Linked DNA regions of Lepisosteus oculatus. The protein of the gene in region 1 purifies or fractionates together with the protein of each later gene. This does not show direct contact. Links are inferred from orthologs where the notes say so. Each region holds a gene or a part of one and is shown on either strand. Other genes may lie near its edges. The genes, in order: histone chaperone asf1b-B, cabin1, ubinuclein-1 and tlk1a.

Region 1 (7,401 bases):
AGTAAATGCACAAACCCTACAGAACTGGTGCCTTCAGAGAGCACACTACACACCTCAGACCCACAGTCACCCTCTGTGCATAGAGACTTTCTACTAGTCATCTGGACTACTAGTAGATCCCTGAGAGAGACACTGTCGGCGCGTCGCCACAGCAGAAATCTCTCCACCTAATTCATCTGACTCTGAGCTGCACCCTGAGTGGTTGGCTGGGAGCCAGAGAACGCCGGGACTAAGCCTATTGAATGCCACAGCGATTGGATGCAGCCTCTAGCTGGTCTTTGGTGTCCGTGCCTGGAAATATGAATCCATATCTGGATAGATAAACCCAATGTCGAGAATTCAATTGTTACCTCAACACAAGTTGATATCAATTCAATTCATGTGAGTAATGTATTTACTTTTGAGTAGCTAATGTTAACTGATTAATGATAGTATAGCCAAACTGTATACTGAAGCATATTCTTGTTTGTTTCTCTATGTGTTTTGCATCTCTTCTCTTTATCCAGGCAGACTGTTATGTGTTTTATATGCACAATTTATGTATTAATAAGTGTATCTTGTTTATTGAATCTATGTGTGTGCATCGCTGATCGATTTATTTTCTAATAGCCATAATGAATCACCTCGTGATTACTGCTACAGTAATAAATTGTCCCAGTAAATTCATAAAACCCCTACATGTGTGTTGAGTCAGCTTGGGTGTGAAAGAAACTTTGTTAGCTTCTAGAAATGCAAGACTAAGTGAATGTGAGGCCTAGCCTTGTGAAGTCAGAAGGATGATGTTAGCAGCCTGAGGTAGACCTTTGTAGTCCAAGGCTGGCTGGGTGTGAGAGGACCCCACTCTTCAAGGAGCAGAGGAGAAGGAAGCTCTGTAGGTGTCATCAGGAGGAAGCCACTCCAGATGAGTGAGGTAGGTAAAAGCTAGGAAGATCTCTAAAGAGATGGTGCCACCTGTCCAGCTGGATGGGGGGTCCATGATACGCACCACTATCAGAGGAGAGTGAGTGTTAAGAGAGACTAAATGCAGAGACTGCGCGTGCAAATATAGAAAAAGAATGCAAAAAGATTCCCCAACAAGCAAAAAGGGGTGTGTCTGGAGCGATGAACATGCCCACGATCAGTGAACGGTAGCCATTACCCCCCTTGCATCACATGATCTAGATTCCGGTATGGTTAATAAACTAGTCAAGTTTGCAGATGATTCCAAAATAGGAGAATTAGCTCAAACTGTATTAGTAGCAAACAAAAAAACAAAAAAGATGTAGCAGTGACTTGGCAAGACTGGACAAAAACATGGAAGATTACATTTAATATAGATAAGTGCAGGGTTTTGCATGCAGCTGGTTAAACTCAATATATCCATTTTGTAATCTGCTTTTCTAGTACAGGGTGGGGGGGAGCCAGAGCCTACGCCAACAAGCAATGAAAATAAAGCAAGATACAACCTGGATGGAAGCCAGTTCATTCCAGAGCACACACAGAACAAACACAAACTTAAACATTCTCACAATAAGATTTTTACAAAAATCAATTAAAGACTGATTATTTTCAGACTGATTATTAAACATATATATATAGAGATATAGAAATGATTTACAAATTTCCAATTAAGCACAAAATCGTGAACTTTGTGAACGGGCAAGAGTGAGAGTTCCCATGAACTGTGACATTATGTGGCCTCTTCCTGCTCACTAATCATTGTAATGGCTACTGCAACCAGAGCCGGTCCAGGCTCCCGTGAAACTTAGTTCAGGACCCTGTGCAGACGGTATAATCCGGAAGTAAGTCGAAAGGACAACAGGGAGGAGACGACGAGGATCATGGCAGGTTAACAAACAGAGGGGCGTGACGAAAGTGAACTGGTGCTCGGGGGGAGTGGCCACGGCAAACAAGTCCAACGGAGTCCAGGGGGAGATCCAGGGCGAAGTCCAAGGTCCAAATCCGGTTGATCCATCTGAGATAGGACAAAACAGAGTTAAAAGCTGGAATGGGATCCAGTACAGGGATGGGGAATAAAAACGGGATGACGAGGCCAGGCGCTCTGAGCCCCGGACTCAGCTGGGTCAGGACGCCGTTAGGAAGCCTATGCCCTCAAGCCGTGGATGTAGGGCGACTTGATGGTAGGCAGGCCTCAGGCATTCGTCTTCCAGTGCAGAGCCCAGATTGGTGAGAGCGCCCAGCATAAATAAGGAGGGGCAAGATTGAGGGCAGGTACACGGCATCATAAATGTGAAAGAGCTGGAGTGCCCTTAAGAGGAGGGATTACGATCGTGACACTACTGTAGCACGATGTATGAGCGAATTTCACTGCTGAAATGTTCCATTGTTACCTGCGTGCAGAGTTAACACGTAGTATTTGTCGGCAAAACTATCTTGAAGTCAAGAGCAACATTTCTATCACATTAAAAGAGATGTATACTCAAACCTGCTTGTTTAGAATAAAATCGGGTTACTTCACATCACTAAACATTTTGTTGCCTCATTCTGAATTGCAGAATATGGCGCTGCTTATTCCCGGAATTTTCATTTGTTACTGTGTCCATTTTACTTTAATTGTGATTTGAAATGCACTCATCAATGCTGATTCTTTCTAACCCCAAAATATAAATATACCGTTGCAGTTACCCTTTAACCATTACGAATGTCTTTGGACTGTGGCAGGAAAACGTAGCACCCAGAGAAAACTTTGGTATACAACCCTCATGCAGGTAACACCCCAGGAACTGAACCTGAGGCCCCGGCACTGTGAAGAAGCAATGTTTAACACTGCACCACTGTATCACCCAGAAGTTAAAATATAAATACAGACTGGAAAACACTAAGCTAGAAGAAGCTACTCATGATAAGACATCTGTGTTTATGTTGGTACATTGCTTACATCTTCCAGATGATGTGGGGAGAAATTAAAAAGGAAAATAAAATGTTTGGCTGTATTAAAAGCTTAAAATTGAAATTAAGGGATGTCATGTTAAAATTGTGTATTGCGGTAGTTAGGTCTCATTTAGAATACCGTGTAAAATGGTGATTATCACATTACAAAAAAAATATTACTGCTTTGAAATGAGTCCAGAGAATAACAGATGCTTTCTGGGTCTTCAAGGAATATTCTACACAGAGGCTGAAAAAACTTTTTTAGTCTCGAAAAACAATATTAAGGGACCGGATACAAATATTAAAAATTCTCACAGAAATTGACAATGTCAACCCAGAGGACTTCTTCAGAATAAACAATGAAACACAAACCAGAGGGCACACGTGGATACTACATGGAAGTGTATTTAACAACAACAGAAGGCACTTCTCTACCCAGAGGGTTGTGGTAGTGTGAAACAAGCTAACCATGTGATTGAGGCTGATACTTTGACTTAATTCAAGAAACTGCTGGATGAGATTCTAGGATCAATTACAGTAAATACTATCAAATGAGCAAAATGGGCTTAATGGCCTCCTCTCATTTGAAACATTTCTATGTACAGTTCAGTTTATTGCCATATGCACAAGTGCAATGCGTATTTGCATGTATGTTCCAAAGACATTAAGAAAATACCAAAAACATAAACACAGAACAGAGGCAGCAACAAAAAGTTAAAGAACATACAACTTTAAAAAAACATCAGTGTGAGCCAGTGGTAGGGGTAATTAAAACATCGCGAAACTGATATTAACATGTCAATTGCAATTACATTCCGTGCATTTTGTTTTGGTGAGCAGAACAGAAATATCCTTAGTAATAACCAGAATCGGATAACTCTGATTTTCCATCCTATACATGCTGCTGTGGGATATGCATTTCAACAAACACAGAAATCACGTAAGTGGAAACAGTAATACTCTAAATTTTTGGAATGGTATAACACACACTGTTCTCCCATCGGTGACTTCTGAGAAAAACATAGATTGTAATTTACTGATTACACAGAGAGCAAAATCTAGTAATTGACAAATCTTCGCCATTGTAATTGAAATAAAGCACGTAATTTACTCATTTTGTGGTGTCGAGTCCTGATAAATTCCCATTTCTTAGGCACTCATAAGGTCGTTTGATTAAGTTTAGGAACGCACCCCCTGCTGCACTTGCTTGCAGCTCAAATACTATGCACAACTCTATGAAAGGAATTATGGGTACGTCGCGTAATGGCAGTCGAAGAACGAGCAACTGTGCAAAACATCTCGAATCTGCTCATTTGCACAGAATTCTGCGACAGTGACGTCACGCAGCAGCGCGCCAGCAGTTTCAGACGCTATAGTTCCTGCAGCTGCTGGCCAATCGGTAGCAGAGCTCTCCTGGGTCCCATGGCTATGGCCTGGCCAATCCGCTTCAAGCTTGATGCTCCTAGTCTTACTGTCCGGCGGAGGCTGCTGTGAACGCTGGCGGGAGCGAGTTTCTTTCTTTCTCTCGGGCAGACCGCGAAGGGAACGGGTTTGTGACGTTTGGAGGGAAACATATTTTTGAAACTTTTCATACGCTTTCTGTCCGGATCTGAAGGTTTGAGTCCCCCCTCTTGTCAGGAACAAAAAACTTCGAAAACCTTTGGTGTGTGGATGCAGAAAATGAAGATCTGGTACCAAGACTCATTTTAAATAAGCGACGTATAAATACAGGAAATTATTCACTTTCGTAAGGAAAAAATATACTTTTTAGTTTTAGTAAGGAGCTGTCACCCCCTGTTAGAGCGCACGGTTCTCTGTAACTAGATCCTCAGCAGTGCAAAGACGGGATTTGGGGGTTTCTACGCAGTTTTGTCCCTTTGAGTGACTCGGATAATTATTGTTTTGCACCGCGAGTTGGCCGGGCAGCTGCAGAAATGGCGAAGGTGCAAGTGCTGAACGTTGCCGTCCTGGACAACCCGAGTCCCTTCGGAAACCCCTTCCAGTTTGAAATCACTTTCGAGTGCATGGAAGACCTTCCCGAAGGTAAGCGCATCTCCCTTGGGCTGCGGATGTCGGGCAGCCTTTTTTCTGCCTTATCTCAGGTGCAAAGTGCGTCCTGCCGAAATGGCGGGGAGAAATCGTAGGTACTCAAGGGGCGAGCACATTTCTAATTTTGTTGCATGAGCTGGTGTGACACTTTGCTGTTCAGATTTTAGGTGGAGTAGAAAGCCTATCGTAAAGCGCTGTTATGAAAAACTATTATAATCTTATAATCTATTGTTTGCTAGTACTTTGAAGCAATTTAGTTTTGTAGTTGAACGAATTTATAATAGTTGTAACTTGAGCATTTTCCAACATTTTTACAGATAAATTGTTTCATTCTCGTAGATTTTCAAGAAACGTCAGGGCTATATTATATCAGTTAGGTGAACAGGCCTAACTAGTTCACCCGCAGTCTAACAGTCAAAATGCAAGCAATTTAAAGTAACTGATTCTCTGAGATTTATGACGGCGATAATTCGTTTGATTCTTTCTCTGGTTAGAAGCATTTCGCTTTTTTCTTAATTATACTTGTATGTCCTTTCCATTACTTAGTTTAAAGATGGTAATCTTTGAATTTTGGCGCCGGCGGGGACTTAAAGCAAGCGAGCAGAAAAAAATTCTAGAATCCATGCCTCTTCTATCTGATTGGGCGGCTGATGATACGGGGGCGTGTGTTTTAGCATCTGTTGTGTATCCGATTGGTTCCTAAGCGAGTTACTATGACTGTAGCTCCTGATTGAATGGAAATTGCGGGAGTAGCTTTTGTTTCACGCAGAGCTAGAGGTAGTATTCTGCAACCACATTAATTTGACGCCGAGACGGTTGGTGTCTTCATTTTGAAGTTTCCAAGTTACTCATTAGTAACTTAGAGGTATTCAAATAAAGAATTGTTTATCCGAAGCTGCTTGGTAATATTCATAAGTAAATATAACGTTCAATGTTTCAATGAAACATTTACTTCTTAAAGTTTATATTAAAATATTCTGGGTATTGAAGACTGTTCAAAAACAAATATATTCACTGTGACAGTTTGGATTATATTTTCATTTTAATAAACTGTATGATTAATTGTACCTTTGTAACGTGTTAATTTGTAGTGGGGCAATATTGGTTTCCGTCTGAATATATTTAGTTGTTTTAATTAAACACATTTAATGTCTTGCAGTAATTCTGAAAATTAACATTTTCAATGTTACTTTATCTTTTGCTGTGCTGCGATATTCTGGCGCCCAAGATCAAAGCTTTTAGAGTTCAGTCATACCAGTTCAAGCCCGTTTAACTTTAAGATGGCATTGTATTTGTGTAGGAACAAGTGTCACAACCGAAGAAGGCTCCACAGCCGAAACGTTGTTTTCTTCTTTATTCAGCATGGAGTAAACCTATTACTTGTTCCTTTGCAGCCTATGCATGCTGACATAGCTACACACCTAAACTATTTCATTGTATTTGTGTTTAAAATTCCTGCTCGACAGTTGGTGGGTTTTTAAGTAATTTGATTACATAGTGATTTTTGGACATTCATGATTTTATATAATGAATGGGCTGTTCCAAATGTTGGAAAAGACCCTTTACCTAATTTTAAGTTAAGTGGCACGTTGGTGTAATGGCTGAGGCGTGTGCCTTGTGTGCTAGAGGTTGGGGGTTCAAACCCAGCTGTCACCATGATTTTCAGGGCGTGGTGGTGCGGTGGCTCTGTGGCTAAGGATCTGCACCTGTGGCTGGAAGGTTGCTGGTTCAAACCCTGTGGCTGGCAGAGGAATCCTACTCTGTTGGGCCCCTGAGCAAGGCCCTTAACCCCAACTGCTCCAGGAGTGCTGTATAAATGGCTGACTCTGCCCTCTGACCCCAAGCTTCTCTCCCTGTCTGTGTCTCATGGAGAGCAAGCTGGGGTATGCGAAAAGACAAATTCCTAATATATGAAATTGTATATGGCCAATAAAGTGATCTGATCTTTTATCCATTAACATGACAGCCTTGGGGTGGCACTTCGGTATTAATTGTAATACGTTTCAGATGTCTGAGCACCCTGAATCAGCGTGCGCTGTTACAGTGATCACATGTAGCTAGGTCTTTCATACGAGGCTGAAGTTGGCTTCTTATTTGTGTTTTTCTTTCCACCTTAAATGCTGCTGCTGTGATGTTATATCGCCTTTCGCCTGTAGATGGGTCTCTTCGGTCAGTACTAATCCAGATGGAATACTGTAGACATAATAATAAAAACATCACTTTATTAACCCTTTACAATTTCTTGCATTAGGAATTATCTTTTCACATACCCATGCATTTTCTCCATGAGACACACAGCAATGATAGGGAGAGAGCCTGGGGTCTGCCATTGTGCGGCGCCCCTGGAGCAGTTAGGGTTAAGGGAGTAGGATTCCTCTGCCGGCTGTGGGATTTGAACCGGCAACCTTCCAGCCACAGGCACAAATCCTTAGCCACAGAGCCACCGCTCCGCCCCAGACTTCCTCAGTGAAAGAGAATATC
Region 2 (7,401 bases), on another chromosome or scaffold:
AGCAGCACAGTGCCAAGATCTTCCAGTTCCTCACCCAGGAGCTGGGGCTCAGCGAAGACAGGTCAGTGCACTCAAGAGCATCCTCAAGTACCCTCCAGCCCCTCCACTGTCCGAGAGTGGCACTGGAGGCTGTGTGTCTTAGATAGATGCTGCACATTACACATATTACCACGCAGTTATGGGGAAAAATAAAACCACCACAGAGTTTTACACAATTTCACACAAAATTCGCCCAGCCATTTTCTAACCACTTCCAGTTCAGGGTCATAGGGGAGTCGGAGCCTGTCCCAGCAGGCTTAAGGAAGATATGGAAAATTCAGATACTTTTTATTATTAAGAGCCCTGCTGTTAAATTAAACAGCGCCTTAAGAGTTTCTTTTACACAAAGGAAGGTATCATCCTCAGGTTAGATTTCTAATGTTAACATATTTTAAGAATTTGGTAACAAAGTTGTCGAGTTTGGGGACACAATGATTGCGATTGGGCCATGTGAATGGCTTACAAATGGGGCTCAAGATTTCTCATTTTCCTCCTAATAGGATTGTCCTCCGGTTCTGGCCTCTCGAACCCTGGCAAGTTGGGAAGAAAGGGACTGTGATGACCTTCCTGTGAAGAATGAGGATACAAATGTCACATTATTGCTGCAGTGCACCACCAGGAAAGAGAGTGTGGATTGTTTCTTATACTTGACAGTTGTGTGCAGAATGAAGCACATTTTTCTGTTTAATAAATTCCTAGTGCTCCTTATATGTAACAGATATCAATGTGACACACTCAAAAATAAAAAAAAATATTATAAGAAGGAATGTTGTCTAGTCAAGGGATCCCTTTTCCAGATGTATTTCTTTATAAGGACGAACAACATGAAAGGATTGTTATAAATTCTTACTTATGGCTATGAGGCATTAAAAACAGAACGGAAGGTCAATATATCAGCAGCTTTTAGAGCACCTTTGTCTGCTGTGTAAGACTGAGATTTATCCTACACAGCTGGCTAGACTGGGTGTAAAAACATCCCCTGTGAGAACTGGTGTGATGTATTGGCTGGTTCTGTTAGAATAGGAGGTTAAAAAGAGTGACCTGAGGATATTCATTAGTTTAGTTAGATGCTGGTGCCTGGAATTGAATAAATAATTGTAGGTATTGACTAATTGGAAAAAGAGATTCTGTATTTAAGTGAGCTGAGTTCCTGACACGGTGTTAATATTTGTTCTCTGTTGCCCTGAGTTTTCTCTTTCTTCCTTCATTGGTCTGCTCTGCTGAACTGTCTAACTGTGAGTGTCTTCTGGTAACCCTGCATAATGCCTCACTCCCATTGAGGTATTACCACCTGAACCTGGTACTCAGAAAATCTTTAACATGTGTCTGCTTATAGCACATTGCTGATATTCTGATTGATACTCTTTTATTTTTTTAATTGCCACATTTGAAAGTCTTTATCTGTATATTTCAAGGTATAATCATCATGAAGAGAGACCTTAACGTGACTGTGTACGTTCACTTGTTCTATCATGCCCTCTTGTTCTCAGTTAGTGAAAATGAGCTCCGTGAAGTTGCCCCCCCCTACAGACAGCACAAACGATGAAATCCACCTCATTCGTTAGAGCTACGTTTGTGCCGTTGAAAGTAGCGTTTGTGCTGCTTTTGTTTCCGAGATATAGCACCTTCTTTGATTTTGATCAGTTGACCCCAGACTTTGCAGCCTTTACATGAATAAACAGTCTTACATTTAACCATGTTCTCGAAAATGTATTGCTTGTGTACTCGTTTCATTGCTGAAGAGACACCAGTTTCCAAATGACCGCTTGTACAACACGAGAGCCCATATTCACATTTTTAGGTATTGGTTTCAAGATCGAGATAATTTAACAATTAAAAACAGAATTGAAAGTACGAGCATAATAATATAACGATCATAGACTTACATTTATATTTTATTTTTGAAGTACAAAGCAGAAGGTGTTTCCCATACCTTAAATATACGATTAAAATTGTTCAAATACCACGTATTCATTACGGAAAGCAGCGGAGACAGTTATACTACAAATAAATGTATTTATTTCGAAGGGTACGGGACATTGTGAATCAATAAAGACGTCAATAAAAACAAGCCGATGTAGTTATTTTGCAAATAAGTAAAGCATTTTAAAAATAGTTTCTCATTGACAGTGAACAAGCCGATCCACCTGGCGCTGCTGGCTTGAACAGCTCTCGGACCCGTGATTGGCTAAACCCCCGAACAGCTCGGGCCGCGATTGGGTGAAGAGTGAGAATCGACACTCTGATTGGGTAAAGCGCCACAGCGGAAGTTCTGTGTACCGTGTGTGCTGTATGAGCACGCTGGATACACAGTAACAGTAACACATCCATTGGTTTCCGATTACTGATCAATCTCGCACAAAGTCGCCCTGAGGTTTAAACAGAATAGCAGACAAAGAATGTCATGGTATCCACAGCGCGTTCACGACTCCGATAGCATGTCACGATAGGAGTGCGCGCATCACGATCACATGGCGATACCCATTGCGACTGGCGCGACATTAAGTCCATATATTGCGATATGACATACCGACAAAACGCCCCCGCCCCCATGTCGCGACATGGAGACGGCATATCGCGATATAGCGTACCCCCAACAAAACGCCCACCCCCATGTCGCGACATGAAGACTGTATATCGCGATATGCCATCCCCCAGCAAAAATGCCCAGCCCCATGTCGCGACATGAAAGACTCTATATCGCGATATGACCAAAACTGCCATGCCCATGTCGCGACATGAAGCCCTATATATCGCGATATGACCAAAACTGCCACGCCCATGTCGCGACATGAAACCTGTATATCCCGATATGACATACCCCGACAAAATGTCCCGCCCCCATATCGAGACTTGGAGTCCATATATGCGACACACAAAGTCCATATATCGGGACACGTCCTATCTGGGTATATCATGTTCTGATATGAGACCTTTGTTGTGACAGTGGTGCCAGGGTGCCATGGAAGCAAGGCGCCACTCGTGATATACACTGCCGCGATATACATGCCTTATACATGGGGTCCCTATCATGACATGCTGCGGAGGTCTTGTCGCGATGGTATCCCACAGTTACGCATTTGGAAACAGCGTGTCACGGTAGGGAAAGAAAAGAAAAGCGTCTTAGATAATAAAAAACATTGATCTTACAATCACGGTGATTTTACATACATTATAACCACAGTTTTATGTCATAGATAGTTAACTTGTTGGCGTGCGTCATGTCTAAGTATAAATCACATCTAAGGCGGCTCATATGTTTATGGATATTGATTGTCTTTAAAATGTTAAGGGTACGAGCTAAACTGTAACAGAGCGCTTGAACTCGGCAGACGAGGTCAAAGTCGCTGTGCATGGTCATGTGATCACCGGGAAAACAAGGTGCTATATCTCGGGAACGAAAACAGCACAAACGCTACTTTCAACAGCACAAACCGGCACAAACGTAGCACTAATGAATGAGGTGGGTTTCATCGTTTGTGCTGTCTGTAGGGGGGGCAACTTCACGGAGCTGTGAAAACGCTAACAAAAAATGTCACTTGTACCAAGTATGTCCTGGAAATGTGGGGATTTAGTTTTAAAGTGGGTCTCATCAGCGTTATTGAGGCACCGAAGACCTGCCTTGGCTGAGGCACAAATAGTTAAAACCTATACATCTGATTAACAATGGGCGCTTTAATGATAATTAATGTAATGCATTGGTTTAATTTAATGCAAATGATAGCATTCTTCAGCTGTAATTACTTCTGTATGTAAACAAAACATTCACGTTATTTGCCGCGGTGTCCATGAATAAACTTGAAAATTATCTTGTCATTGTCATTTGTTCCTTTGGAAATATGAACATTCCTTTTGTAGAATAAAAAAAATAAATTGGGTTAAATGTGTTTATTTACAAAGCATTTTTGTAACTTTCACCTTTTTATGTGAAATTTAATCGAAGTTTATTGCTTTATAATTCATACTATCCCCTTCATAGCTGCATGCAGAATAATATTGTCTTCCAATTGGAGTAAAATAAGACACTTTTACCCTTAAAAATACCGTTGACAGTAGAAATCGAATTACAGTATTATAAGGATAATATTTCAATTTGAGTCTTCTTCATGATACTATCATTGATAGTGTTAATCTTGTGTTGTCTTGGGCCAGGTTTAAATAGCAATTACTTGGAGCAAAAGATGTTTAATCCGTTCTCTCATCAAACATTTTCCGATGTAGAGTATATGGACAATAGTCCACAGAAGTTACTTTCCACAGAACCCAGTCCTGCTGTGCCTGGTTACCAGCATATGAGTTTGTGATTGGCTGAATTTCACCGGCCAGACTGAACCAGTAGGATAGGCTGTTGCTGGCAGATGCTTCACAACAGACAAGCAAAGTGCAGTTTGGAAAGGAGCGCAGGTAAAGAATTAAAATACGTTTAACGCTATTTCATGCATCGTTCTGCGCACCTCTATTTATATAAAAGTCAACAGTTAGGTTTGTTTCTTTTATTTAAAACGAATACAATCTTGAGTATTTGTAGTGTTGCAGAACATGCTTGTGTCACTGGGGAGCTGATTGAGTTATTGTATAGCTGCGAAAGGGTGAAGGAAACGCACCAATTGATTCCTGATTACAGCTAAAAAACTGAAAATGGTAGAGTTAAATGTTATAAATACATGAAATATACTGAAATCTATCGTTGCCAAAATGTGGTTTTAGTTTTACTCGGCAAATTGTTATATTTCAAACGTTTACCTTAGCATGTGGGATATTGGTGTGCAGCCATATATCAAATTAATGGTGCTGCATGTAATTGAAAGTAATATTTTGTGAATAACGTGTTAATAGTATTAATAAATACAGTCCATTATATATACTTCCTGAACCCCCTTTCTTAGAATGATCCAGAGAAACATCAGAGAGCTTAAAATACTTTAACGCTTGTATAGTATGTTACGATTGTGTTGATAAACAAATGCCTGCAGTTTGTATCAAAGAATAAAACAAAAACATCGCGATAGTTCTGTCATAAAGCATTTCATTGAAAAAGGCTGTTTATTGCAGGTCTTCTCAACATGAAGTAAGAAGAATCTGGTGCTGAAGAAAACAATGGTACATTTTATTTTCTCTCGAAGAGCAACGTGTGAAGAAAACCATATTGATTTCTTTTAATTTTTGTATTTTTATTAAGTTAATCAATTAAATAATTACACAGACTGGCCTGCTGTTCTTCGGGGTTTAATACAAATTGTAATTGTTTTGATGTGAACCCCACACTTCAGACATAGCAGTGATTTTGAATGAATAATTAAATGTTATTTTATGAATCAACAAAGGAGTCATTCTTTAGGGTCTCAAATTCCACAAAGTATTGCATTGCATATTCAGTTTAATGGCACTTTGTAATATAATTATAGTAATATAGGATTATATTGAGCATGAATATACATTCAAAGTTTCACTCATTTTTAAGCTTTTTCTTGGTCACATTGCATCCTGGTAGGGGTTTTATTAAACTGGCTTCCTTCCTGTGTTGGTTTTTGCGAACCTTTTCCAGCCTAAGGCACATGTTTTTACGGCATTCACTAAAAAGTGATATGGTCCTGGCCGCAGCAGTTGCCTGCTGGCCTGGAAAAGCCGATATGTTTTGTCGGTGAATTATTTCCAGGTGGGACTGGTTTGGAATTGGGCAGCGCACCAGTTGATGTCTGATGGCGCGCTTGTTGGGAAACGCTTCCCGACGTGACACCGTGGCCTCTCACCCGGTCTTTCCCTGGAGTTGAAATAGGTGTGGTCTAGGCTCATCGTGACCTCCTGAAGGCTTGACCCTGGCTTTTACTTCCAGATCCGAATCGCTGCACTGAATGCGGCCTCGGCAACTGGGGACGAACACGATGACCTGCAGAAAACCAGGAAGACGCAGACCAAGGAGGCCCAGGTGAGCTCCCTCTGGCTTAATACCCACGTTACCTGCTCTCCTGGGCCATACTGTTCATAGGGTTCAGGCATTTTATATCTTAAAAAATATATGTTATTATGCAAAGGAACAAGTAATAGGTTTATTCCATGCTGAAAAGAGAAGAAAGAAAACGCAACGTTTCGGCCCTGGAGCCTTCTTCAGGTGTGAGAAAGACAGGGCAGTAAGCAAAGGTGATGTACAGTAGCAGGAGAACAAAAGCTGGTAGAGAGGAGGGGTGGGAGCAGGGGACAGACAGAGTGGCCACTCGGTGGTGTGAAATTAAACCTACAGTGAACAGAGAGAATTTAGAAGAAAATTAGCCTGGTGTTGAGACAAGGGTGTGATCCTAGCTGCAGGATCATTTTATTTTCTGTAGTCTTTCTGATGTGGGAGTTGGGAAAACCATTTTTGAGAACACACGCGGAGAGATTATATTTTATTATATTAATCAGTATGGAATATGCATGTGTGATAAGCGCATCTTCCTCTGCTCCTGCTGGGCTTTGATCCCGTTTGCCCCTGGGCTCCGTTCTGTCCAGTGACTCTTCCTAGACAGCAGATGACTCGGCCGCGCACGCCAACAAACTAGTCCTGCGCCAAGGCCGAGTTTTACACTGCACTACGCTTTCAGAAGAGGGTCACTTCTGTAACGGGCTCGGGGCATTGCTCTTCAAGCATGTGCCCAGTTTGCTCTTGTGTTAATGGGGGAAGCAGCAGTTTGGTAGGTGTTTGTGTATTTGGTGGTAGGCGGAAAGCTGAAGGTCTGAACAGTGTACAGACTGTTGCACAGTTTGAGCGCTCTTTCTCTGAGTAGGAGGCAGAGGCATTTGCTCTGTACCACAAAGCTCTGGACCTCCAGAAACATGACCGGTTTGAGGAGTCTGCAAAGGCCTATCACGAGCTCCTGGAGACCCCGCTGCTTAAAGAGGTGAGACAGTAATGTACACAATGGTGAATTGTCCCATCATCATACGACTTACAAAATACATCTTTTGCGTTGTGTGACTAGTGTTCATAGACTTACAGATCAGGTCATTTTACTTAGGATACAGGATAAATAGCAAATATTTCTAGGATCTTTGGGTGATTGTTGGAAAGTAAACTTGGATTCCTGTAGAAGTGGTGAGTAATGTTTTTGTTTGGGTTAATGTGTTTTGTGTTATATTTTTTTATGTGTACTGTTTCTGTGTTTTATTTTTGTTTCTCTGTGGGTTGAACATAACTGCTTGGAGGCAAAACAAATTTCTGAGAAATCAGATAAAAATATTATTGTATCATATCGTCAATAAAACTGTTGCTGTCTTGCACTAGGGAAGTTGGTAAATATTTTCAAATGGATGCATTTTCATTTTTTCATCTGTCCATCTTTCTGTCGGGCTATCTATTAATAAATACGCCAAATGTAAATACACTAA
Region 3 (7,945 bases), on another chromosome or scaffold:
TATACCAAATCACCGTGAGGTGCCACAAAGACAAAGAAAGCATGAATTTTAAACTTAAGTCTGACTGAACTCTGTAGCAGGTGTGAGCAAGCTGCATTCTACAAAGTTCTACTTAGGCACTCTGATTAAATCACATAAGTATTCATTAAAAAAGTACTTAAAAGCCAAATACTTAAAATAATCTAAAGTGTATTTTAAAATGTAATTTATACAAGCTGCTTCACAAAATACTCACAATTTCTTAACAGCATTTTACATTGTTGTGACGTACAAAAACTTTCAGCCATTTTATTATATTTTAAACCACAATGAATGCTGATATCTTGTCCAAGAGAATAAACAAACGATTACAAGTAATTTCACTGATGTTTCATTGTAACAATTTTAACAATTAGCTCACATTTGGGATTTTCTGGCTGCACTTTATGACACAGATATGTTTATATCCAGCCATCAACCACCCCTTAGAGATGAAGATCTCAAATCCCCTTTGGAGAAATGCTCACAGAACCGGTTCAGTGACTCTGTAGCCATCATCTTTTTAATACTTTGTTGCGCAAGCTTAAAACCAAACAAACAAAGCTGGCTTCAGCACAGTGTTGGACAGCACAATTCCACATACTTTCCAGGGACTATTCTTGTGATCAGTAGGAACAGAACTGGAATAGCTTAAATAAGTATTTGTACAAGGTGCCCTTTGCCGTCTCTAACCTTGTCTTCTTTTGGAGGGCGGCCTCGTCGGCGCAAACCAAGGTCTTCATCATCATCAAGTGGCAATTTCACCATTTTTGCAGCATTTTTTCTGCCTTTTACGTCTGCGGCGTTTGATTTGTGTCTTTCTTCTGAATTACTGGAATTGTGGGATGCCTAAATAGGGAGCAAAGACAAACAGGTTACCGCAAGCAAAAGTGGCACCGAAACTCACCGAAACAGCCTTATTTCCCCAACACCACGACCCATCAATAACGGAGTAATTAAATGAAATCTTGAGAATTAACGGAAACATTAAAGTTATTCTAAACGACGCAATAAAGGCACATTTCAAAATGTTCACTCATTATACTGTAGCTCAAGGATTTAACTGATTTTGTTTCACTACAACGGCACAGGAATAAGATTCTGATTTTTTTGCAAACTGGAAAAAATTAAGGCCGACTTCCCTTTAAGATGTAGAAATGGCACCGCAGTGTGTGCATCAGGTTCAGTCGATCCAAAGCCGTTACCTGTTCCTTTCCTTTTGCTTTCTTGAGGAACTCCTCCACTGCATCCACAGCTTGTTGGAAACGCTTGCCTTTGTTGATCTTGATCATTTCTTCCTTGTGGGGGTGGTAAGGCTTCAGCTGCTCGACCTTTATCCAAGCACTGGAAAAGAAACACAGGCATCGCCGTTTTGAGAAAGCTGCCGCGAGAGAACCATCGCCAACCGTTTGTAACTTTTTAAAACATGGTGGGGGGGGGGTGGAACTCCTTACTGGTCTTCAGTGCCAAAAAACTTCACAAAGAAACATTTTTTTCCTCTCGGTTTCTTCAAGTCTTTCGGTGGACTTACTATCTAAAAAGAAAACACAGAACGGTGTTAAAATGGGAATTAAACTTACAGGAAGACCCTGACAGAAGGCTCACCGACAGGGAAAAGATAAGCACAATCATCCATCACACTTTCAGGAAAACTGCAAAATTTACAAAACCTAACTAGAATTCCCCCCCTCCCATCTTTTAAACATGTTATGACGGATGTTAAAAAACCCTCCCCATTATTTCACTAAAAATAGTTCACAATTTAGGAATGTTACCAACTGTAACATCTTTAAAACAACTCCTGACCCATCATGAACTGGTGCACTACTTAAAATGTAATGAAAAAATGAAAGATCGGCAACTTTGGAGAGAACACGGATTTGAAATGAATTTACTTTTCCTGGCCAAGGTGGATACCGTCCCAGCTTCCCCCTGAAAAAGAAGAAAGATTTCAACTAACGCAACACAACCGATGGTTTCCTTCTCGATACTTCAATTATGCAATGGTTTGAAATGTAGTACCACAGACGGTCTGAGCCTTACTAGTTCATACTATGGCCGAAACATTAGGTAACAGAGAGAACTGTACTAATGTAGTAACAACGACTGCCTGTGTGCTGCAATGTACTGTAAAATTAATTAAATGGTGATATGTAAACAAAGTGCAATACATGGGAAATCGCCTATATTTGACAGTGTGAAAATGAAGAGAGGGGTACACGATTGTTAAAAACGTGAAGTCACATCGTCGAATGTACATCAAGTCTCCGTTTACGTTAAAGTTTAGGAAATACGACTGAAAAGTAAGTTCCTCCCGCTCGGGTTCAATAAAGGAGCAGGATAAAATGTTTTCAGCAACGAGGAAGCGATAACATCTGGAAATAACGTTGCCACAAGACTAATAAAGGTGTATATATGAAATGTTGTGCTACATGTAGTAAAACTGAACTGTTTGTTCTAGACTGCGGCTAAAAAAAAATAATATACGGATTGCTGTTTTTTTTACGAAACGCTGTTTCTGTGCTGGCTGTAATCACTATTTTCAAGATCATTTCTGCAAAGAAATACCTGCCATTTGCTCAAGCAAGTAAGCAAGGGCACCGCGCAAGCGACTCCGTTTAAATCACCCTCAGCAGACGTCATGCAGCTGAAACTAAACGAATAAGCACAAAAATCTCACCAAACCAAATCGCCGATCCTCAGATGCACGGCCGCCATCTTAGAAAGTTGGTTAAAACGCCGCAGTGCATCCAGGGAAGAAGAACACACCCACCCGCGTCACGTGGTCCCGGACGGCCGTCGCGGCGCCTCTGCACAGCTGCTGCTCCTACCGGAGAGGGCGTCTGTGCTGGAGGGGTTCGGGGGGTTTGGATAACTAAGGAAAGGTACCAAAAAATAAAGTTACATAGCAAAGGCGCAGGGCTTGGAGGGACCTGTTTGTTCTTTGCAAATCCAGCCCCAGCAACCACTTGCACGGATTGAAAAAGGATACCCTTTTTAAGAGCCGTTTGTAGAGAATTGATGTCACACCGTGAACTGCTTGTGAGATATATGTGCAATAAATGTTATTTTGATACAAAAATATAGCAAAGGGGACCTGTATCCTTAACACCACCACCTACACGTTGCATGGCTTAGATCTCCGATTTGAATCGAAACGGTGCCATTTTCAAAGTGGCCGGGAAGCGCTGCGAGTGATCTCTTTCGTTGCTTTACTGCAGCAACCAGCCAGCAAAATGCACCGTAGGCGAGGCGGCTGATGTCTCGCTATGGTTTCCTCGGCACCTCAATGCAGTGCGGGTGATGCGCCAGGGGCACTTTGCTTTCTGGGGAGCTTAGGAGCAACGGGTGAAGTACAAATGTCGTAGGAAACAATGAAACTGCTGCCGTTGGCTACGGGCTATATCAGTCCAGAGCTCGATAACCACAGACGTTTATAAAGAGCGACCCCGCCATTTTCACATGCGAGTTGGAAAGCCATTTTGCTAAAGAGGAAGTAGAGGCACTTCGTCTACGTATTAAAAAAACATCGAAAACGCCCTCCAATCAGCCTCATGTTGTTTAGGTGTTTCGATACTCATCACTGAACACATTTGTCTTTAAAACCGGATATGCGAAGTGGAAAAGTGAACGTGCACATTGCCGTTTAGCAAAGGAGACAATTCGGCACCAATCCCCAGAATAGCAGGATATATATTGGGAGAATGCGCGACCAAAACGTGTACAGAACTACAAACGACATATGCCCTTGGAATAAATCAACAGACGCCATTTTCTCTCCAAGTGTAGTATAGATCTCTTCTATTGGGGCAGTGTCTTATTTTTAGCTATCTACTGAAAACAAGTATTGTTTACAGCTTTTCAATTTGATTTTCTTTAAACATTTTGATTTAATACGACGTACCTCTTTCGTTTTGGTGCGTATACGTGATTATATCGTATAAAACTGCATTACAGAAACATTTTTGTGAGATGAAAAAAAATGTGCACATCAAGGTGATGTCAGGGGATACAGGAAAATTTCCGGTTAGAAGCTCTTGGCCACTCAACCTCCTGGGGTGTCAGAAGCTGGTGTTCAACGCTCGTCCTTTAGGCGTCCCTGTTGCCGCTCATCTCGGAAATCATTAACTAATCAGCATAATTGAGATCAATTATACAATTACCAACTCGTTATGAAATAATTGATGCAAAACAATACATTGACACAATCGAATAAAAGCGTAAACAAAAATCTGAACCACACTGGTGACAGGGAGTTCTTGTAAGACCTGCAACGGAAATAGAAAACAGGTGTGTCTTATACATTAGAACCGCATTATGGAAACGGGGCCAGATTTGTTTCATTTGATTGGTAAACCAGATGACTATTATATCGAGCAGCAAAATATAAAGCATTGGACGCTTTCTGCTTTTTTAATTGAACTGTGACAAGTACATACTCTTCAGTATCTGCCTTTTCTTCTTCTCTTCCAATTTTTATATATTTATACTGTATGTGCTACTTAATCTTAATTGTGTTATAGTATCCATTCTTCTCACACCACTATTCTATTGTTGCATTATATAAATGTTTCTGACATGACTGTTTTTAATTTACTGTCTGTGGCACTATGAAAACGAACGTTTCAATGTTTACAAAGTTTAAATGATTAAAAAAAAACTTGCTTTAAGATATTCGGAGCAAAAATATTTAAGTTCGTTAGAAATAAACAGATCTGTACAACAGAAATTTGTACAGTGTAGTGCAACTTCCATCGCAACAGGTTTCCTGCACCCGTTACCTGTAACTAAACAGTTTTAGACCGTTAACATGGGAAGAACACAAAAAATAACTGCAAGATAAATTGTGTTTTCTTTTATTTTAAAACCGTCTTGCGCTTATCACGGTGATTCTCAGAACATTAACAATGTAATTTACAGATTGCCTTTTATTATACTAATAATCGCATTATTGCTCTTGCTCGGTGCTACAACCTGCTTTCAACCAAGTAAACGCAAGCACACGTAAACATTTTATTTAGCTCCACATATTCTTGCAATACCTCTCTACACCCCCCTTATTTCATGCATTCTGCCCACGACGTCCCATGTTTGTGGTTTACTGTGGCTTTGGTAGCTGGATTAACTCCACCAACATGGCCCCCTGGCTCACATTCCTCCCGAGACACGAGAGCTAAATTCTCGGCGTTTTTTTTTACCAGAATGTAAATATTATGAGGTATTAATCGTGCGACGCTGCGGCGGAGGGTGATGACGACGCCGCCGGTTCTATCTAAGGTCCTATATAAAGTCCAGAGCGAAAGCAGAGGGAGATCGAGGGGGTTAAATGAATTTGAAATTAGTGTGAATTGCTTAGTTTGCGTGACTAAATTACGTAATGTTTTCTAAAATATATTTGCATACCTTAACGCCGAAGTAGTGTGGCTTGTTTCTGTTGAGTGCTGAAATGTTTATGACGTGAAAACTACTCAGAACGTGGATAACTGTTCCCCATCTTTTTTTTTCCTGTCGTCTCGCAGGGCAAAACATTTATGTTTTTCCAGTGTTTTTTGTTAGCCGATATTGGGAGATATACAATTTTGTGCTGTGCCACATTCGCCTTGTTAGTTGTCTGCTGCTTTTGCATGCGTTGTATTTACTATTTCGCCATCATAAATGATGGCAGGACTAAGAGACATGAATTAGGTCAAAAATGTTGTGTGCAATTAATAGATGTGTCACGCAAAAGTTCGACCTAATACGAGATAAAGGGCACCCTTCGGGATCAAAGGGGTTATTTACCTGTACGTCATGTGGCTTTGTAGAGTCTAAACGATAACTGTTGGCTCAGTACACATCAGAAATGTAAGCCTGGTAAAGATATAAACGCACAGACTCAAACAAGTGCTTCCAGGAGTTTGATTACGCTCTGCTGGGGGTTGGAAACGCGTAGTTACTCATGGCTGAGCCACGCAGGGTACAGCTGACCACTCTCTGCAGCAATGTCCCCCTTCCTTCAAGTTTGCTAAAGATTCCCCCCAAGGAGGACATATCCGCTGTGTGCAGCCCCTTGGAGCAGGAGACGTCTCCGGCAACTGCACGCCTGGTGCTCGCCCTCTTTGAGCCCGATCAGCGGCGCTGTCCAGAGTTTTATTACCCTGAACTCGTGAAGAAAAAGGTAAAGACCTGTTCTGTATTTGGCTGCTTTTCCAGTCATTCACGTAGAAATGAATGTCTGAAAAGTCTGAAGTTGTTAAAGCATGTGATGGGGGGTGCGCATTGTGAACCCGCTGTTAACGCTTAGCGTTTGTTTGTGATTGTATGTTTTAATCAAGTCGGTATGAATTCCTGAATGGGTAGATCTATTGCCTTTTTCTTTGCATGTGAAGCATCTCTGACCCGCTCTACCAAAAGCAAAGATTCGGGGTCTCAAACATTTTAACATCTCACCGTTCTCAAGTAAGCTGTGGAGAACGGCCATCGTTCAAGTCGTCCGTGGAGACTGTGCAAGAACGTCTAACTAAGAAGTCTATCAGCATCAAGAAAAGAAGACCTTGGGCGAAAAACTTTGTTGTAGAGTCCAATATTTAAAATTATTTGTACTCACTGTACATTCGACAATAACTCAATACAATTAAAGTGGAACACTGTACTGAAAACATTGTTGCATGCCGATGTTTTGCCTTATCCAACAGCCCCAGTTTAAACACTTCACTTTCCCCCCCCAGAATAATGCCTTCAAGGGAACAGCAGTAACACTGGAGGAGGAAGAGAGTGCGTCGCAGAGACAAGAGGCCGAAGCTCTTGCTAAGAAGTTTGAAGAAAAATATGTTAGTATTGTCCTTTATGAACCCCAGGAAAGATTCTAAAGGGCGTCTTGGTGAATGTTCTTGTTTCTTTTGTCAGGGTCCAAAGAAGCGCAAGAAGGACCGTGTGCAGGACTTGATTGACATGGGATACGGATACGACGAAACAGACCCGTTTATCGACAACTCCGAGGCTGTAAGTTGTCTGCCTTGCAAGTTTGAAAGTTTTTCATCTACCGGCACTTTTGTCTTCTTCAGACAGACTTTGTGAAAATGACGACCAGGGAGGGCTGATAGAGGTCAGCTCTTCTGCCCGCTGGTCTGCTGTCCGCAGTGCTCTCCAAAACCTTCTCTAGAGATGCCTGTTGTTCACGTCCTTTGTGCATGTTACATGAAAACTTCTGACTTTCTGAATGGTATTTACCTCCTATTCACCCTCGTAGGAGCGCTTTATGAGACCGAGTGGTGCTTTCGAGGGCCTCACACAGCAGTCGTGCACGGTGTGCCTTAGAGGTATTCCTGTTGTCAGTAAGGTGTGAGAGTGGAGCTTGCAAGCTGCTGAGGAACATGTAGAGGGTTCATTCGGTGCTGAAAAGAAATAAATGTCTGGGCTCCAAGTCATTTCTACAGACACCCCAACAAAAAATAGTTTTTGTCTTTTAAGATGCCTTTTGTGTAAAAAATGCACTGGAAACTTAAGGATTTGTCTTTTTATTGATACAGTATGATGAATTGGTGCCGGCTTCACTAACGACAAAATACGGCGGATTTTACATCAATTCTGGGACTCTGCAGTTCAGGCAGGCATCAGAATCTGAACCTGAAGATGATTTTACTCAAGAGAAGAAGAGACTGAAGTCTCCGAAGGTCAGAGGACTTTTTTCTTTTTGCAGGCTGTTTTAAGATTTAGTCTTATAATGTCTTTATTTTTCCCAAGGGGAACTGTAAGGGTCTTATAATATACAGCATATTAAACCACGTAGTAAAAGAGTCGGGACATGAGTATAATAGTGATATTTTGTGAAATGTATGAAGGACAAAACTATTCAAGAACTATATATTCATATAAGTGCTAAACAAAGAGGGATGCGTTTGAACTAAAATAACGCAAAGCATTTTTTTGCCTTTTTGTTCGCTCCCAC
Region 4 (7,689 bases), on another chromosome or scaffold:
GGACTCGAAGAGGGATGCCAGACAGGTCAAGGATTATGGGTTTAAACGCAGCAGTTTTGAAGTATCACTATGGAGCAACACCATAAAGTCTTACGCCTGCTGACACTTTGATAGTCTTACACATGAAATTTCAGAAGAAAAAGATGGTCTGTGAAAAAAGCTTGCGAGTATCTTATGGCATGTACTGATGAGATCACCCTGTAGGCTTAATTTATACAGCATACTGTATTAAAGTTAAAGTTTTTAAATTTTAATGCTGGTACCCTTAAAATAACAGAACACGGATAAAAAAAAAACTGATGTCATTTTAATTGGGCACCTTTCTAACCCTAGAGGTCAATATGATGCACATAATGCATTTTGGAAATTTCTCCAAGCTCTCTACAAGAGGAAACAGACGAAAAGTGGCTTACAGAGAACTAACTCAAATGCAGTGAAGAACTCTTTACAATTCTGCATAAACAAGACCTGAATACTGTCAGAGCCACTAAACATTAAGCCCCTGCAAAAGCTACTGGTTGAACCCTAAGAACACAGGACATTTTAGCTCCATGCAGTTCGTGGCTGTAGTAGGTCCACCTGAGCCTAACTCTCTAAAATGACCAAATTAAAAAGAATCATCATGCTTTGCAGCAACTTGACACTTTTGGACTGGCCAGCACAATATAATGCAAGACCCCACTGATATGTGCGATGAGATCAGATCCTGTCAGTTTAAAACTTTTCTTCATAAGGGCACACACACACACACAAAAAACAGCTTTTAAACTGAGGAAAGAACACATATTGATCTATAACTTAGCTCCTAACTCATAACTACTTCACATTCCTGGCTCCCCTTTTCAAGCACAACCAAGGCAGGAGACAGATATCAAGTTAATTACACCACCTACAGAAAAAAAATAGCAAACTTTACATAGGAGCCTATACTGTAAAGCTGAAAAAAAAACTAATTTAACATAAGAACTGGTTTATTAATATGGAATTTTTCATAACATGCAGGTACCTTATCGACCTTAAGCTCCTCAACAGAACATATTTTGGGTCAGGGAGACTAATTGCAAATTACATAAGAACTTGTATGCGAGATCTTTTTGCTTCAAGCACGACGGGTTGATTAAGGACGGAGGTAAACCTCGTTACCATATCACCTTAAAACCTCAAGGGCATCTTCAATTGCCCATAATACATAGAGCATTGCCAAGCAGTCTGCACGTCCCTCTCTGGGGATGACTTGCTTATATAGAAAACACAGAAACACAATTAAGCACTAATTTGAAACTCACACTAGGTAAACTAATTAGAACCGGACACTCAAAACTGCTCGGAATAGTAAGCCTAGACACATATAAACTCCACCCCAATAACTTGGTTATCTAGAACGTTTCCCCACCATTTTAGCCAACGCTAGGCATTATTTTAAAAGTAGTGTTTGTTCAACCAGAGACTCCATCAACTGTGGTTACGTACTGTAATTACCTGCATCCAGACAAATAACTACGCTCAAGGCACCCGATTGCACAGACTGCATAACACCATCATGGAACATTTGTGCATTTAAATTAAAAATAAATTCACCGAGCAATGCAGTTCTGTGCGCAGCCCCCAAAAAAGACGTGTCTCCGTGCACCCGCACACCACCATCATACTATGTATTGTGTATATGACACAGTTTACTTACTGCAATAAAAATGTGTCATCCCAGACTTGATACCAAAAAAGGCGAAGGAAGTTGCTACCCTTAGTTACGTTATTAAACTCGGATACCTGGCATTCTGCACACTGATCAATCTCGCCAAACTCTTCTTCTCGAAACAAAATCCATGGGTCCTCCATGATGTCAAAAGACCCGACCCTTTTTATTATCAGACATCTTAGCAAATAAAAAAAAAAGAGGAGGCACTTTTTTTTTATTTTCCCATTGCTTTTCAAAACGGAAGCCGCTAAAAAAAAACACAAAACTGTGAGCGATTTCAATACCGTCTAGCTGAGAGTCGTCAGCTAATGCACCCAAAGTGTAAATAAATGTAGCTGTTCTTTTTTTCTCCGTATGGCCTCTTGAGATTTTTTCTTGATACTCCATATCAAGCAGACACCTATTGACTGGCTGCACTGTACAGTACCTAACCCACGGCCTCAGCGTAACCCGCTTGGGACTCATATTTCCAGACGGCTCGTCGCCCGCATAACAAAAACACTTAGCCATTTCTAAAGAAGATACTTCTAAGATTAATATAGTTTTAGATTACCTTCCTTGGTTTTCACAGGTGCCGTGATATGTTGCTGAGAAAGCAAGCCCGGTGTTGGGGACGTGGAGAGCCGGGACCAAGATGGCGTCCCCTCCAAACTTCCACCACTTCCACTGTTACTTTGGACACTCATCAAGCTACTTTTTGGAACGAGAAAGCAAACAAACACAGGCGTCAATGGCAGTGAAACCTCGTGATTTCTGTAACCTGCAAGCCTCTGGCATCAATCAATCATCTCGTATGATCCGGCCCAAATTGTAAAATTTAACATTTTTTAAACACAAACCTCCCTATACCTCTGCAGTGCGTCTTGAAGTAGCCTGTGTGTGTAACCTTTGCATTAGGCGTCACGCATCGCTTGTGCAAACACTATCGCGAGGCTCGTACACCTCAGGCAAAAAATTCTACTGATGGAAACGGCAAAACAAAGAGGCCATCCCAAATTGTATGAAATACTTCCCAAGTCGCACGCTCTTCATCAGAGGCTTTGAATGCATTAATATTTTCATTTCTCATTCATAAAAAAAAAATGTGTAAACTGCAGGGTAACTGTGCTCCGTGCTACCTGTGCATTCCTCCCAAATTTTATAGGGGACATTTTATTTCATCACCGCATGAGGATTAAAATATGCAGACACTATTATCATATTAATAAAAATAAAGACAGTTCCCTGGCGCTATTTCAATTTCCTGATGCACTACGATGCCATTTCCAATTCCTTATCGGTAACGTAGAATAACGTAAGAACTTTGTTTGAAAAAAAATCTCATATCGCGAAATAAAAACTTTAATGTACATACACACGAACATAGTTTTCGCCTTCCCACAATTCATTATGGTGGTTTTAAGTGACGTAGGTTTAACCCTTTGCGGCGGACTTGCTAGTTGTTCAAGCTGTCAATCAAACCGCGATCACTAATTACGATAATTAGGATGTGTTTGTGGCGTTTATGTAATAGAATAGTTTAATATGAAAATTAGCTGATAATTAAGCATAAAGTAAATCTAATAAAAATCCTAAAATATTGCAAAAATAAATTGATGTATATTTACTTAATACATTAATCGTATTAAGTAACTATATCAATGTATTGATATAACAATTCTTTATAAACTGGGATAAGTGAAAATATTGTTTGAAGTGGTATTTATCACTTTTAAATATTGTGACCTTTGATAAGTGAAAAGAAATTTGGTTAAATGAATGTACTATTTTGGGTTGCCTATATACTCTCCTCTCAACTGTAAAAACGTTTCACACAACATTAAAGCACCTACTGTACTTCGTGAACATCGTGCAGTGAAGAAAAAGATTATTTGCACCTTTGAGGTCCTAAGAAGGGTCAATCATTTTAGTTCAATGTTGTTTTGTTGTTGTTGGGGGGTCGGCATCGGTATTGTTAAAAAATAAATTTTAAAAGGTCAATGAAAAATTAATTTAAAGGTGTATATTAATAAAATGGAAGTATAAGAAGCATATTAATAGCATAATATTTGCTGTAGAGTGGAAAAATATAAAGCATGACAATGTATTGGCGTTTAAATACGACAAAGCAAAAAAAGTGTAGACAGCAACCAGGAATTATTTTGCAGTTCCGTTTGCCGATTAGGTCAACCATTAACTGGGTATTTTAGGTTGAAGGTCATATTGCACTTTTTGTATTTGTCTCCATTGATTGATCATGAAGAATTGATTTTGGATTACATGTAATGGTAAGATTGTTGTTGCAGCAGTTTATGAGTGTGAGTCTCTTATGGAGAGTTCTCAATTAGAAACTGGGAAACAAACATCTGGATTTTTATGTAATAAAATAAAGCAAGTAACATTGTATTGTATTAGCTGTTGGTTTATACCGAAGATAATTTTCAGATGCAAAATTAGAAACAACCAGGTTCACGTTATTTTTGTGCATTATTCACATTCAGCACACTTTTAAATGTCCATAGTTTCCTCAGGAGCTGGAACATTCGGTTTTACTGTATATGTTTTTTGTCCATCCAAGAGCCATGCATTTCAGAGAAGGAAAATTATTAAATTGTTAAGGTAGTTCCTTAGAGTAACCGTTCGTTTTCACACATTTTCCACTTTTTATGTAATTACATTCACTTAATGCTGGGAAAAAAAAATCAATAACAGGCTTAGAAAAGGGTAGTTTGTTACAGATTTTAAATAATTTAAATATAGCATACACCTATAAATCAGAAGAGTTTAAGAATTCTATTTTATTATATATATGCAATACATTTATTTTTCAAATATATGTATGGAATTTAGAATTTTTTTAAGTAGATCAACAAAATATTTGTTTTCAAATCAGTAGACCGTGTGGTAGCAGTGTAATGGAGACAAAAGATTGTTGTTGTTTTTCCCAGTGGTCTTTTAGAAAAATAAAATATCTACTCCTAACAACAAAGACATAACAGAGTCCCTAAAATAAGAACCCAACTGGGGTCAAACAGCATTAAAACACAGGGGTTAATAATTTCCTGTTGCATCTCCCAATCTGATCTTTTAGATGGTAAAGGCATAGAGAATGTTCTCAGCCAGTGATGGCTCACTTGTTGTTCTATGCACTTGCTATGCACAGATGGCTGTTCAGAGTTCATTGAAATGACTGTGATGCCTCCTCTCAGTAGAAACATCCCGGCCTTCTTTTTCACACACCAAGCTAAGCTTCCCTTTTCAACACACAGCCCAGACCAGCAAATCCTTTGGCACAAGCCTTTGTCTCACAATAGCATGCTTCAGAACTGATTCAGTGCATTATACCACCCCAGAAAAGCAAGTCATGTGGGTCAATAGTAGGCATTTAAAAATTCAATTAGGAAGCAATCAAAATAATTATAGAGGCATTTTTAAAATATTTGTTGGAATGCAGCTTTCGTTTTCATTCAGGGCATTTTATTTGTTTTCTTTTTTTACTACTAAAACGAAGGCATATTAATGTGCTACATCCTGGAATTTTCCACTTGCTGTGAATGACTGGTTCAGGATTGAGTATGCATAATTTTTCCTTAGATAAAATTCTAACACCGGTGCACAGCCCAAATGAAACACTGGGCATGGAAATTTACCTCAGATATACTATTTGTTTTGTTCGGGACTCAAATTTACATCTGGTGCTCAAGTCAACATGCAATATGAAAAATTAGTTACTCAAATTTACATCCAACTAGGGAAAATAATCTTAATTCAGGATAAAAAATCTGAACCTGTCTGATTTGACTCCTACTAAAAATTCTGATATCTGTTCTTCACATTGTGTAGCTCTGGTAGTTGTCATTTGCTCTTATTGTGAACCTTCCTAATTTGTCTCAGTATTATGACCTGAAACAGACTAATACCTTGAACAGATAAGTGCTTTTGCAATTTGTTGCATTGTGAACTTTCTATTCTTCTTATTGGAACCTGTCCTTGTAAACTGCTTTTAGATTTGTGCACTGCAAAAAGGCATATGCAGGACTTAAGAGATCACTGATAGTGCCCAACACAAGAAAGTTTAAAAATAAGAGGCTATAAGGCACATCTAGACTGTCCAGTGACGTCTTAAAAGAAATCAGCTTCAAATCATGCCTGGGTATCTTATTCCAGTCCATTCTGTGTAAGAAAGTGTCCCCTCAGTAGTAATTGGAATAGTAATTCCTTGGTTCATGTCCTGGTATTGGTCCCTAAAATAGTCTTTTATGTTCAAGATGAAAAAGATTGCATGAAGGGTGAACCTTTAAGTCTGAAATACATGTGGTCCCCATTCTCTGAAATAATTGCAAAGCAGCAATATTTTTTTTTTGCACCATTATGGTAACCACAGCTGTACACAACATTCTAAATGAGGTCAGTATTGACATTTTACACATCTAATGATCTGTTTGGCCTTTTATTGCTTATCCACCTTATTGAAGGAAAATGATGTGTCAATACTTTGCTTTTTCCATAGCTGCCTGTTTCCAATCTCACATTCATACTTTTTTGGTGGATACGAAAAAAAAACTCTTCAATTAGATTGTATTATTATCATCATCAAATGATAGTTCGGGTGGGTAGCTGCGTCAGCATGCGTAGGCTGCAAAGGAACAAGTTTATTCCATGCTGAATAAGGTGTCAGGCTCACATCTGAAGAAGGCTCCACGGCCAAAACGTTGTGTTCTCTTTCTTCTTTTTTTCAGCATGGAATAAACCTATTACTTGTTCCATCATCAAATGATGTATTATTTCCTTAAAACATATAGAGTGATTTGGTAGTCATCCTATGACTTGTACCATTTGCAAAATTGACTAGTTCACAAATGTCCAAAATGTAGGACAACTGATATACTGTAAGTTCAAAAGAACAGTGGTCTGAATACAGATCCTTGTGATACCCAAACAAAATATTAAAAAAAACTTTAATTGAATAAAACTGCTATTTGATTGTAAAGAACTGTACCACTCAAGCATTCATCATCATTTTGTGAATCATGCATTTTTAAGAACCTTCTCAGTATAACATATGAGCCTTTCAAGTCACTGGCTTTCTTTGTAGCTCAGTCTTGTCAAATCTCACAACCTAAGCAAGCTTGGTCCATGTCAGTAATGATACTGGAGACTTCCAAAGAAATCCAGGTTGGTACAGTGAGTGGCCTTGCTGGAATAAGTGGCAATCTTCTCTCTGGACTACAATTTCCAATCTACAGCATGGTGACAAGGGACATAGATCTGTAGGCAGTGTGCTGTCCTTTTGTTGAGAGTTTCAGGAGAGGTCCTGACTACTTCATCTGTTCATAAGACTAGTCATATTAGAATAGGTGTACCCCAGTATATTGGCTAAATTCCACTTCAGGTTTGGACAGTCTTACCTCAGTAAATGTCCCTCTCACTTCAACTGGTGAATTAACATCTCACTGTATCATGACCTCATCTGTTTTCACTTTAATTGTCTTTAAATGGCTATGAAGTTCAAATTTAAACACTCATTAATGATCTTTTGGAAAATGTAAAGTACTTAAAATAACAATGATTACTTACTAATGTGAAAGATAAACATTTGAATAAGTAAAAAATTCCATCACTGATTACAAAAAACTGAGAAGATTAATAAGACTGTCTGTACAGTCTAGATGTACAGTATGTAGTATGTTAGTGCATGTTAGAATCTCTATAAAAAGATGGGAACAATGCCAAGCTACAGAAATGTACTGTACATTAAAAGAATAAGCTGAAACATATACATTCTAAGGTCTACAGAAAGGGTCAACCCAGTTTGACATCTTCAGTAAAAAACCAAGGAAACATGGCAACAAAGGGAATTTATTTAGGATGGAAAATAGGCAACACTTCTTTACATAAAGAGTGATGGTTGTCTGGAACATAAGGTTGAGGACCAGACTGTCGGGTCCTCCAAGAAAGAGATGGACAACATTTTAGTATAGCAGACAGAATGGCATCCATTCTTATATTTGCAG

The links.
Region 2: the proteins of histone chaperone asf1b-B (region 1) and cabin1 purify together in Homo sapiens (affinity purification with mass spectrometry; 3 studies listed by BioGRID and IntAct, counting the BioPlex papers as one, with this or other methods). This does not show direct contact. The link is inferred for Lepisosteus oculatus from reciprocal best matches to the Homo sapiens genes ASF1B and CABIN1.
Region 3: the proteins of histone chaperone asf1b-B (region 1) and ubinuclein-1 purify together in Homo sapiens (affinity purification with mass spectrometry; 3 studies listed by BioGRID and IntAct, counting the BioPlex papers as one, with this or other methods). This does not show direct contact. The link is inferred for Lepisosteus oculatus from reciprocal best matches to the Homo sapiens genes ASF1B and UBN1.
Region 4: the proteins of histone chaperone asf1b-B (region 1) and tlk1a purify together in Homo sapiens (co-immunoprecipitation; 3 studies listed by BioGRID and IntAct, counting the BioPlex papers as one, with this or other methods). This does not show direct contact. The link is inferred for Lepisosteus oculatus from reciprocal best matches to the Homo sapiens genes ASF1B and TLK1.

The regions. Positions count from the first base shown.
Region 1 is NC_090706.1:21,997,600-22,005,000, reverse strand, and holds the start of histone chaperone asf1b-B, read left to right. Parts: upstream 1-4,299; 5' UTR 4,300-4,805; coding exon 4,806-4,914; intron 4,915-5,617; exon of another isoform or gene 5,618-5,654; coding exon of another isoform or gene 5,655-5,697; intron 5,698-7,401. UniProt on the Homo sapiens protein: Histone chaperone that facilitates histone deposition and histone exchange and removal during nucleosome assembly and disassembly. Cooperates with chromatin assembly factor 1 (CAF-1) to promote replication-dependent chromatin assembly.
Region 2 is NC_090717.1:9,546,367-9,553,767, reverse strand, and holds the start of cabin1 (calcineurin-binding protein cabin-1), read left to right. Parts: upstream 1-4,368; 5' UTR 4,369-4,443; intron 4,444-5,091; 5' UTR 5,092-5,136; coding exon 5,137-5,139; intron 5,140-5,872; coding exon 5,873-5,965; intron 5,966-6,800; coding exon 6,801-6,914; intron 6,915-7,401. Other genes in the region: ddt (D-dopachrome decarboxylase), read left to right, coding at 1-61, 540-612. UniProt on the Homo sapiens protein: May be required for replication-independent chromatin assembly. May serve as a negative regulator of T-cell receptor (TCR) signaling via inhibition of calcineurin. Inhibition of activated calcineurin is dependent on both PKC and calcium signals.
Region 3 is NC_090714.1:858,210-866,154, reverse strand, and holds the start of ubinuclein-1, read left to right. Parts: upstream 1-4,869; 5' UTR 4,870-5,956; coding exon 5,957-6,175; intron 6,176-6,725; coding exon 6,726-6,827; intron 6,828-6,903; coding exon 6,904-6,999; intron 7,000-7,526; coding exon 7,527-7,670; intron 7,671-7,945. Other genes in the region: glyr1 (cytokine-like nuclear factor N-PAC), read right to left, coding at 712-867, 1,224-1,362, 1,473-1,552, 1,914-1,950, 2,699-2,736. UniProt on the Homo sapiens protein: Acts as a novel regulator of senescence. Involved in the formation of senescence-associated heterochromatin foci (SAHF), which represses expression of proliferation-promoting genes. Binds to proliferation-promoting genes.
Region 4 is NC_090707.1:16,290,497-16,298,185, forward strand, and holds the start of tlk1a (serine/threonine-protein kinase tousled-like 1), read right to left. Parts: upstream 3,090-7,689; 5' UTR 3,051-3,089; intron 2,650-3,050; exon of another isoform or gene 2,536-2,649; intron 2,390-2,535; 5' UTR 2,383-2,389; coding exon 2,250-2,382; intron 2,099-2,249; exon of another isoform or gene 2,084-2,098; coding exon of another isoform or gene 1,981-2,083; intron 1,793-1,980; exon of another isoform or gene 1,775-1,792; coding exon of another isoform or gene 1,768-1,774; intron 1,716-1,767; exon of another isoform or gene 1,701-1,715; coding exon of another isoform or gene 1,682-1,700; intron 1-1,681. UniProt on the Homo sapiens protein: Rapidly and transiently inhibited by phosphorylation following the generation of DNA double-stranded breaks during S-phase. This is cell cycle checkpoint and ATM-pathway dependent and appears to regulate processes involved in chromatin assembly.